2 linked regions of the Lonchura striata genome follow. The protein of the gene in region 2 binds, or shares a complex with, the protein of the main gene of each other region. Links are inferred from orthologs where the notes say so. Each region holds a gene or a part of one and is shown on either strand. Other genes may lie near its edges.

Region 1 (3,745 bases), on a different chromosome or scaffold from region 2:
GAACTGGACTTAGCAGTGCACCACTGCAGCAAGGAACACAAAGCAGATCCTGGGCTGCATCCACAGGGGCTTTGCTAGCAGGGACAGAAACTTGATCATCCCACCCTGCTTGGTGCATTTCAGGCCACACCTGGAGTATTGTGTCCAGTTCTACTCCTAGCAGCTCCAAAAAAAATTGTGGACAACCGGAGAGCATCCAAATTAAGGCTATAAAGATGATCAAAGGCTCAAGAACACACCCTGAAGGACTGAAGAACTTCCTTTTTTTCTGCCCCAAGAAGCTTGGGGAGACCTTATCACAGTATTGTGGTACTTACAGAGTGGCTACAGTGATGGAGGCTCTCTCTTCACAAGAAGACAAAAGGCAACACGTGTTAAGCTGTAACAGGAGAGCTTTCATTTTGAAATAGGGAACTTCTGCCCAGTGAGAACAACCAATCACTGCAAAAACCTCTCCTCAGGGAGTTCTGACTGCAGGTTTTCAAGATGGTGTTGGACAGGATGTTAGATTATCTCATCATGGTTCCCTTTACTACAACAGGTTGTACCAGATAATCTTTCAGCACCCTTCCACCTGTTGCTGTTCTATGGTTCTGTGATTTTATAAAGGTCTATGGTGCTATATTACACAGACTTCAGTAAAGCAAAAACTGCACAGGAACAGAGAATTCCAATAGCACTGTTTTCCATATAATTTATAATAAAAGTGTTAATTATGCACATTTTGAAAGACTTTCAACATGAAAAAAGGTTGTAGCCCATTGAGAGTTGGCCTCTTCTCCCAGAAAATCAGGGACAGGATGAGAGGACTTAAGTCTTAAACTGCACCAGAACTTGTTGTTGTTGTTGTTTCACAGAAATGGTGATTAGACATTGGAATTGGACTGTCCAGGGAGGTGGTGCAGTCACCATCCCTGAACGTATTTAAGAAAAGGGCGAGCATGGCACTTAGAACCATGGTCTAGTTTACATAATGCTCATTCATATGTTCAACTCGGTGATCTCAAGTCTTTTCCAACCAAATTGATTCTGTGATTCTGTAACAGTAAAATAATGATGATGGAATTTACAGTTGTCTCCCTTTCTATTGTGTCACATTCTTATATAGCCCAGGCCCGTGTTGCTATACACTTCTCAATGAGATTGTCACTCAACACGTTTATCCCGAGGCGCGGGGCTCCCGCACCGCAGCATCCCGAGCCGGCAGGGTCACCGGGGCAGTCTGTAACTTTAAACCACCGCCACAGCGGGCTCTCGCCCTAGCACCCCCGCCTTGTCCCAGCCGTCGGTGCCGCCCCGCGGGGCTGGGAGCGGCAGGGAGCCGCGGGCCCGCCCCCGTGTGACGAGCGCTGCCGGGTCACGCCCGGCCAATGGCGCCGCAGCTCCGCAGCGTCACCGGCAGGGCGCGCGCCGCGCGGCAGAGGCGGAGCGCTGCCGGCACTCCCGCGTCCCGCGGCCACGCGCGCGCTGCTCCTCCGCTCTATGGTCGCCGTAGAGATCCACGGCGGTGGCGGATCAATACTGGGACGGCGGCGGCCGTGGCGCCGTGGGGAACATGGCGACGTTGGTGCTGGATAACGGCGCCTACAACGCCAAGATCGGCTACAGCCACGCGAACGTCAGGTGAGGGGCCGGGCCGGGCCGGGCCGGGGCGGGCGTTGGGCGTCCCCTCACGGCTTCGCCGCCGCTCTCCGCCAGCCCCGAGCCCCTCGGCCGCTCACCGGCACGCCGGCCCGCAGCGCGCCTGCGCTCGCCGCGGAGAGGCGCGGCCTGCCCCGCCCCGCCCCTGCGGCGGCTGCGGACCCCGCACCCCCGCCCCTGTGTCACACCGTGCCCCTGTGGGTCACACCGTGTCCCTCTGTGTAACACTGTGCCCCTCTGTGTCACGCCGTGCCTCTGTGTCACGCCGTGCCCCTGTGGGCCACGCCATGTCCCTCTGTGTCACACCGTGTCCCTCTGTGTCACACCGTGCCTCTGTGTAACACTGTGCCCCTCTGTCACGCCGTGCCTCTGTGTCACACCGTGCCCCTGTGGGTCACACTGTGCCCCTCTGGGTCACACCGTGTCCCTCTGTGTAACACTGTGCCCCTCTGGGTCACACCGTGCCTCTGTGTCACACCGTGCCCCTGTGGGTCACACTGTGCCCCTCTGTGTCACACCGTGTCCCTCTGTGTAACACTGTGCCCCTCTGGGTCACACCGTGCCTCTGTGTCACACCGTGCCCCACTGGCCGGGGTTGGGGGAGAGCCCCTGGCGCTGTTCTTGCTGTGCCGGCAGCAGGGTTGCAGCTCAGCGCAGTGTGCGGCAGAGGTGGGGGGTGGTGTTCGGTTTTCCAAAAGGTGTCTCTTCTGTACTGGAGTTGTCAGAAATTAAACATTTCCCCTACTACTGGCTCCAGTTAACGGACTAAAGCCAAAATACAGCAGCAAAAATATTATTGAAATTACAGTGTTTATGAAAGTGGCGTAAAGAAAGTGAATGTGTCTTATACCATGTTTAATAGGAAGCTTTCCAATCTTTTCCAGCGTTATTCCCAACTGTCAGTTCAGGTCAAAGACTGCACGCTTGAAAACCTTTACGGCAAATCAATTGGATGAAATTAAGGATCCCTCTGGTCTTTTTTATATTCTTCCCTTTCAGAAAGTAAGTAAGATATCTTCAGTTTAACATTAAAGCCAAATGTAAATTGTTCTAAGGAATAGTTTTCATACTGTATGTCCCAACTGCAGGGTTATATGTAGTATCACACAAGAATCAGTCAGCAGTGTGAAGTTTAACAGTCATAGAATTGTTTAGGTTGAAAAAAACCTTTAAGATAATCAAGTCCAAAAGTTAACCCTGCACTGTCTGGCCCATCACTTAGCCATGTCAGTAAGTGTCACATCTGCACATCTTCTAAATACCTCCAGGGATGGTGACTCAGCCAGTTCCCTGGGCAGCCTGTGCTAGTAGTTGACAGCCCTGTTGGTGAGAAAATGTTTCTATTCTAAAACTGTCTAGTGCAACTTAAGGCTATTCCCTCTGGTCCTGTCCCTTGTTATCTGGGAGAAGAGACCAACCATCACCTCACTACAGCCTCCTTTCAGGTCACTGCAGAGAGCGATAAAGTCCCCCTTGAGCCTCCATTTCTCCAGGCTAGACAGCCTCCCTCAGCCTGGTCCTCACAGGATTTGTTCTCTGAACCCCTCACCAGCTTTTTTGCCCTTCTCTGGACTTGCTTCAGTCCTTCAATGCCTTTCTTGTTGGGAGGGAGCCAAAACTGAAAGTAGGATTCAAGGGATGGCCTCAGCAGGTGCAGGAAGGCAATCCCTGCCCTAGTCCTGCTGGCCACACTATTGCTGATGCAGGCCACGATACTCTTGGCCACCTGGGCACACATTAGCTCATGCTCAGTGGCTTCCAACCAGCACTCCCAGGTCCTTTTCCACTGGGCAATGTCCCAGCCAGCCTGCCCCAAGCCTGTAGTGCTGCATGGGGTTGTTGTGACCCAAGTGCAGGATGTGGCAGTTGGCTGTGTTGAACATCATAAGATTGTCCTCAGTCCATCAATCCAACCCATCCAGAAATCTTTACAGAGCTTTTCTATCCTCCAGCAGATCAACAGTCCTACCCAATTCAGTGCTTTCTGTTGAATTACACCCAATCCCCTTGTCCCAGCATGAGCCCTGGGGGCCCCTGTTACCAACAGTCTGGACAAGGGGATTGGTGACAGGATGCCGAGTGGTTGTAGCACCATTCAGCACCA
Region 2 (3,745 bases):
ACCTCTGCTATCTCTAGCACTGACAACATGGATGGCCTAAGTTCCACCTGCTGGTTCAGGTTTCTAAACCTCTGACAGGGAACTTCATCACATCAAGGAAATTTTGCAGACTACTGAGGCTTCCCTCCCCCAGGCCCTGCCAGTTTCATGGTAACCAGAAGACCAGAGACTACTGAAAGTTGCTTCCTTATAAAAGTCAATGGAATACTTTTGTTTCACTGAAGAACTGAGAGACTTCTTCACCCTGCTGCTGCCAGATGAAGCCAAATAGGAAACATGGTACTGAAACAGGAAAATTTCTGTTAATACATTCAGGACTAAAATCAACGGGGTTCTCTTTAGCCAATCCTCACACAAACCAGGGCTACTTCTCTCTGCATTTGTCAGCTGTCAGCAGCAGCTGTGTAAAGAGATTTTAGATAGTCACTGAGATTGCGTTGCAAATTAAACCAATTTACATCAAACTTGTAAATGTAGCATAGAACTGAGGAAGACATTAAGTTACAATGTTTATTCAGTTGGCATGGAACTTTCTCTGTGCTCACTGGAATAGTAAGTCAGGCTAATGCTGCTGTTTGTGAGCCCCTGATTAAAAGTGTTAATTTACCAGGGTGGAATCACTAGAACAAAAAATAGGAAGAGTATTTTTCTGTCTACAAGTATTTCTGCTAATGTAAGAAATTAAAAATTGCTTTTTCTTTCAGCTTTATTCAGTCATAGGCAAAATGGAGAGGTGAATCTGACAGATAAAAGAATTTGATGAAGTATAAACCAAAATACAAAAATTAAATTACACTTTGTACACACAAAACCTGACTCCACTAAGTGTGAAAGATTCACTAAATTAGAATCAGTACTGAAAAAAGTAAGTATATGAAAACCTGAAAATGGCTTGACCATTGAAAAGTTTTTCCTTTTCAGATGACTGGGAAAAAGCAAAGTATCATGCAAACACTTCATTCTTCTTTTCCTGAAACTTACCAATTGCACGTCGGAAATTTTCCATGAGAACTTCTGTTTTCTTGATCTCAGTGGAATAGACCTCACTTCCAACCATAGGACAAAAAGGAACTTTGCTTCCCAGTTCCTGAGCAATAGCTAAAGCCAAAGCAGTCTTTAAAAGGAAAAAAGAAATACAAAACCCAGACATTAATTTTGAAGAGAATTAAGAAATTATTATTTTTGCACAAAGTTAACTTTCCTCATTGTATCACCTTCTATATATCACCTACCAATTTATGGCTATTCTGTCTGACATATATTTCTCACATACAAAAACCCTCCTCAAACACAGTTGACCTTGGCCAAAGGCTTTAAAAAACCCTGAAGACATCATACTGGCTGCTTGAATTTGACACCTGCTACAGATGCAAAAAGCCTAAATAGCATGGAGGAAAAAAAGTAAACCAAGCAAAAACCTTTCTGGCTTTTAATAAAAAAGTAACTTCTAAAACTTTTTCAGAGCTCTTGCTACTGATGTGTTTAGTAACCTACAAGAGGTGGTTTCACATTAAAGATGCTGAACACAACAACGGGTACTCCCAGTGTCGATGATACCACAAAAGCAAAAATATCAAGTAGAAAACTACATGAGTACATTGATTGAAAAAAAATCTGGCATATGAAAACACTTTGTAACCACTACCCTAAAACGGTTTTGACAAATTAAAACAGATTTGGAAATACTTTATTTTGTAACAAAACAGAAAAGTAATACCTTGCCAGTTCCTGGAGGTCCTGCCAACAGCACTGCTCTGCCAGCCATTTTTTTGCTTTTGATTAGCTCCACTATAACCCCACATGCCTGTAAGTTAAATAGGCATTTATACCGTTAACACAAGTATTGCTATAGTATCTTCTGTTCCAACATTACCTAAAGTATTTAGAAATAACAGGTTTTACAAAAAATAAAGATTTCAGTGTCATGCACACAAAAAGAAAGTTCGGGAAACATACTTTCTACAATCATTTTATCTGACACACATTAAAAACCACAGAAAACGAAACTCAATCTGTGAGCCCCGACTGCTTTTCCCTCTCGCTGTCCCACGCACAGACAAAGGTTTGAAAGTAAAGCAAGAAATTAATCTTCGCTGCCTGAGCCACAAATCCCCTACAGAGCTTCTTTCAGGGCCAGGCTGGATGAGGTTCTGAACAACTTGGTCCGGTGGGATGAGTCTCTGCCCACGGCAGGGGGCTGGAACGAGACATCATCTTTACGGTCCCTTCCAATCCAAACCAATCTGTGATTCTATGATGGCTTTATCCGGCCCGCACAGGAGCGGATGCTCCAATCCCTACGTGCATCAAACCCGCAGACTTGTGCTCGGTTTCGTTGCCTGTAACACCCCAGTGAGCACGCCGGCACCCGGGAGACCGTCCCCGTCGCTACGCGAAGCAGGAGCAGAGCCAGCACAGCGCGGCCGCCCCCCGGCGCCTCAGAGCGCAGCAGCCGCACAGAACCCGGGCACGGCTCCCACCCGCGGTCGGGCACCGTCAGCCGCCCCTGCCCGGCCCGGCCCCGCGCTCACCTCCCGCGCATTCTCCTGCCCCACCAGCCCGGCCCCCGCCGGCTTGGCGGCGCCGCTCTCGTCCAGCCCCAGCCCCTTGACATGGCTGTGGGCGGCGATGCGCTGGGTTTTGGAGGTGCTCTTCACCTCCTCGATCTTCATGGCGGGGCAGGGCAGCGGCAGCTCCGGCCCGGCCGCCCCGCGCTGCTCGCACGCGGCCCGCGCCTCACCGCGGCTCCGGCGCGCCCCGCCCCCGGCCCGCCATTGGCCCGCGCCGCGGCGCTCCCGCCGCTCATTGGACGCCCAGCCTGCCCGTCAGCCCCGGGGCTCGGGGTTTTAGGGTCCGCCCGCCCGTTTCCGCGTGCGGCGCGCACCGGCGGTCCGGGCGGGCGCGGGCGCTGCGGAGGAGTAGGGCCGGGAAGGAGGGAGGTGGCGGGGTGGCTGTCCCTGGAGGCGCTCAGGGAATCGCCGGACGTGGCACTCGCTGCCAGGGTCTGGTTAAAAGGTGGTGACCCGTCATAGGCTGGATTCTGATCTTGGGCGTTTCTTCCAGCCTAAGTGGTTCTGAGATTCTCTGCATCGACAAGGGCGGTTTTGGGGAGCGGCGAGCGGAGCTCTCCGCAGGGGGAGCCAGCTCGTTCTTGCTCGCAGGTTTTTTGGCCCTGCCGCACTTCAGCTCTTTCTTTCTTTCTTTCTTTCGTTCTACAATCCGATTTGGCGCTGGAGCCAGCGTTTGTCCTGCTGCCGGGGCTGCGGGAGCGCTGGGTGTCCCTGGCTCGCTGTCTTGTCCCTTGCCCGCCCACAGCCGCTGACAGTGCGCCAGGAGCCCTGAGCCTTCACAAAACCTCTGCTGGCTTTAGCTCACAAAAATAAATTAAGACTTTCCAAGGGTGTTCTCTAAAACTTTTTCAAAGATTCACAGAATCGTTAAGGTTGGAAGGGACCACTTGAGACCACCTAGTCCAGCTCCCCTGCCAAGGAAGGTGGGGATGGTCTCTTACCTGCTCGGTGTCGCTCATTAGTTTCTAGTGTCCAGTGAAACTGTGGAATAATTCTATTCTGCATCTTGAAGGCCTTCCTGTAAGCATTTGAGGCTGTGCTGCACCCACAGCACGTATTCCCAATGAGCTTCGAGCAATTGCAATGGGTAAAACCACTCCAGAGTCCCAGCAGGTTGTTTCATGGCCTCACAGAAACATCTGTGTTTCACGAGGTCTGGGATGCTGCAGCTTCCA

The links. The genes of interacting proteins can lie anywhere in the genome.
Region 1: the proteins of RUVBL1 (region 2) and ACTR6 are in contact, whole or in part, in a cryo-EM structure (PDB 6IGM), measured with the Homo sapiens proteins. The link is inferred for Lonchura striata from reciprocal best matches to the Homo sapiens genes RUVBL1 and ACTR6. Residues at the interface, in NP_003698.1 of Homo sapiens: Lys162, Thr163, Ala164, Lys165, Gly166, Thr167, Tyr209; in NP_071941.1 of Homo sapiens: Tyr217, Tyr300, Arg338, Cys339, Leu340, Thr341, Pro342, Thr343.

Annotation. Positions count from the first base shown.
Region 1 is NC_134607.1:55,970,656-55,974,400, forward strand, and holds the start of ACTR6 (actin-related protein 6), read left to right. Parts: upstream 1-1,380; 5' UTR 1,381-1,555; coding exon 1,556-1,623; intron 1,624-2,525; coding exon 2,526-2,643; intron 2,644-3,745. UniProt on the Homo sapiens protein: Required for formation and/or maintenance of proper nucleolar structure and function. Plays a dual role in the regulation of ribosomal DNA (rDNA) transcription.
Region 2 is NC_134614.1:13,220,540-13,224,284, reverse strand, and holds the start of RUVBL1 (ruvB-like 1), read right to left. Parts: upstream 2,746-3,745; 5' UTR 2,673-2,745; coding exon 2,532-2,672; intron 1,805-2,531; coding exon 1,718-1,804; intron 1,115-1,717; coding exon 982-1,114; intron 1-981. UniProt on the Homo sapiens protein: Possesses single-stranded DNA-stimulated ATPase and ATP-dependent DNA helicase (3' to 5') activity; hexamerization is thought to be critical for ATP hydrolysis and adjacent subunits in the ring-like structure contribute to the ATPase activity.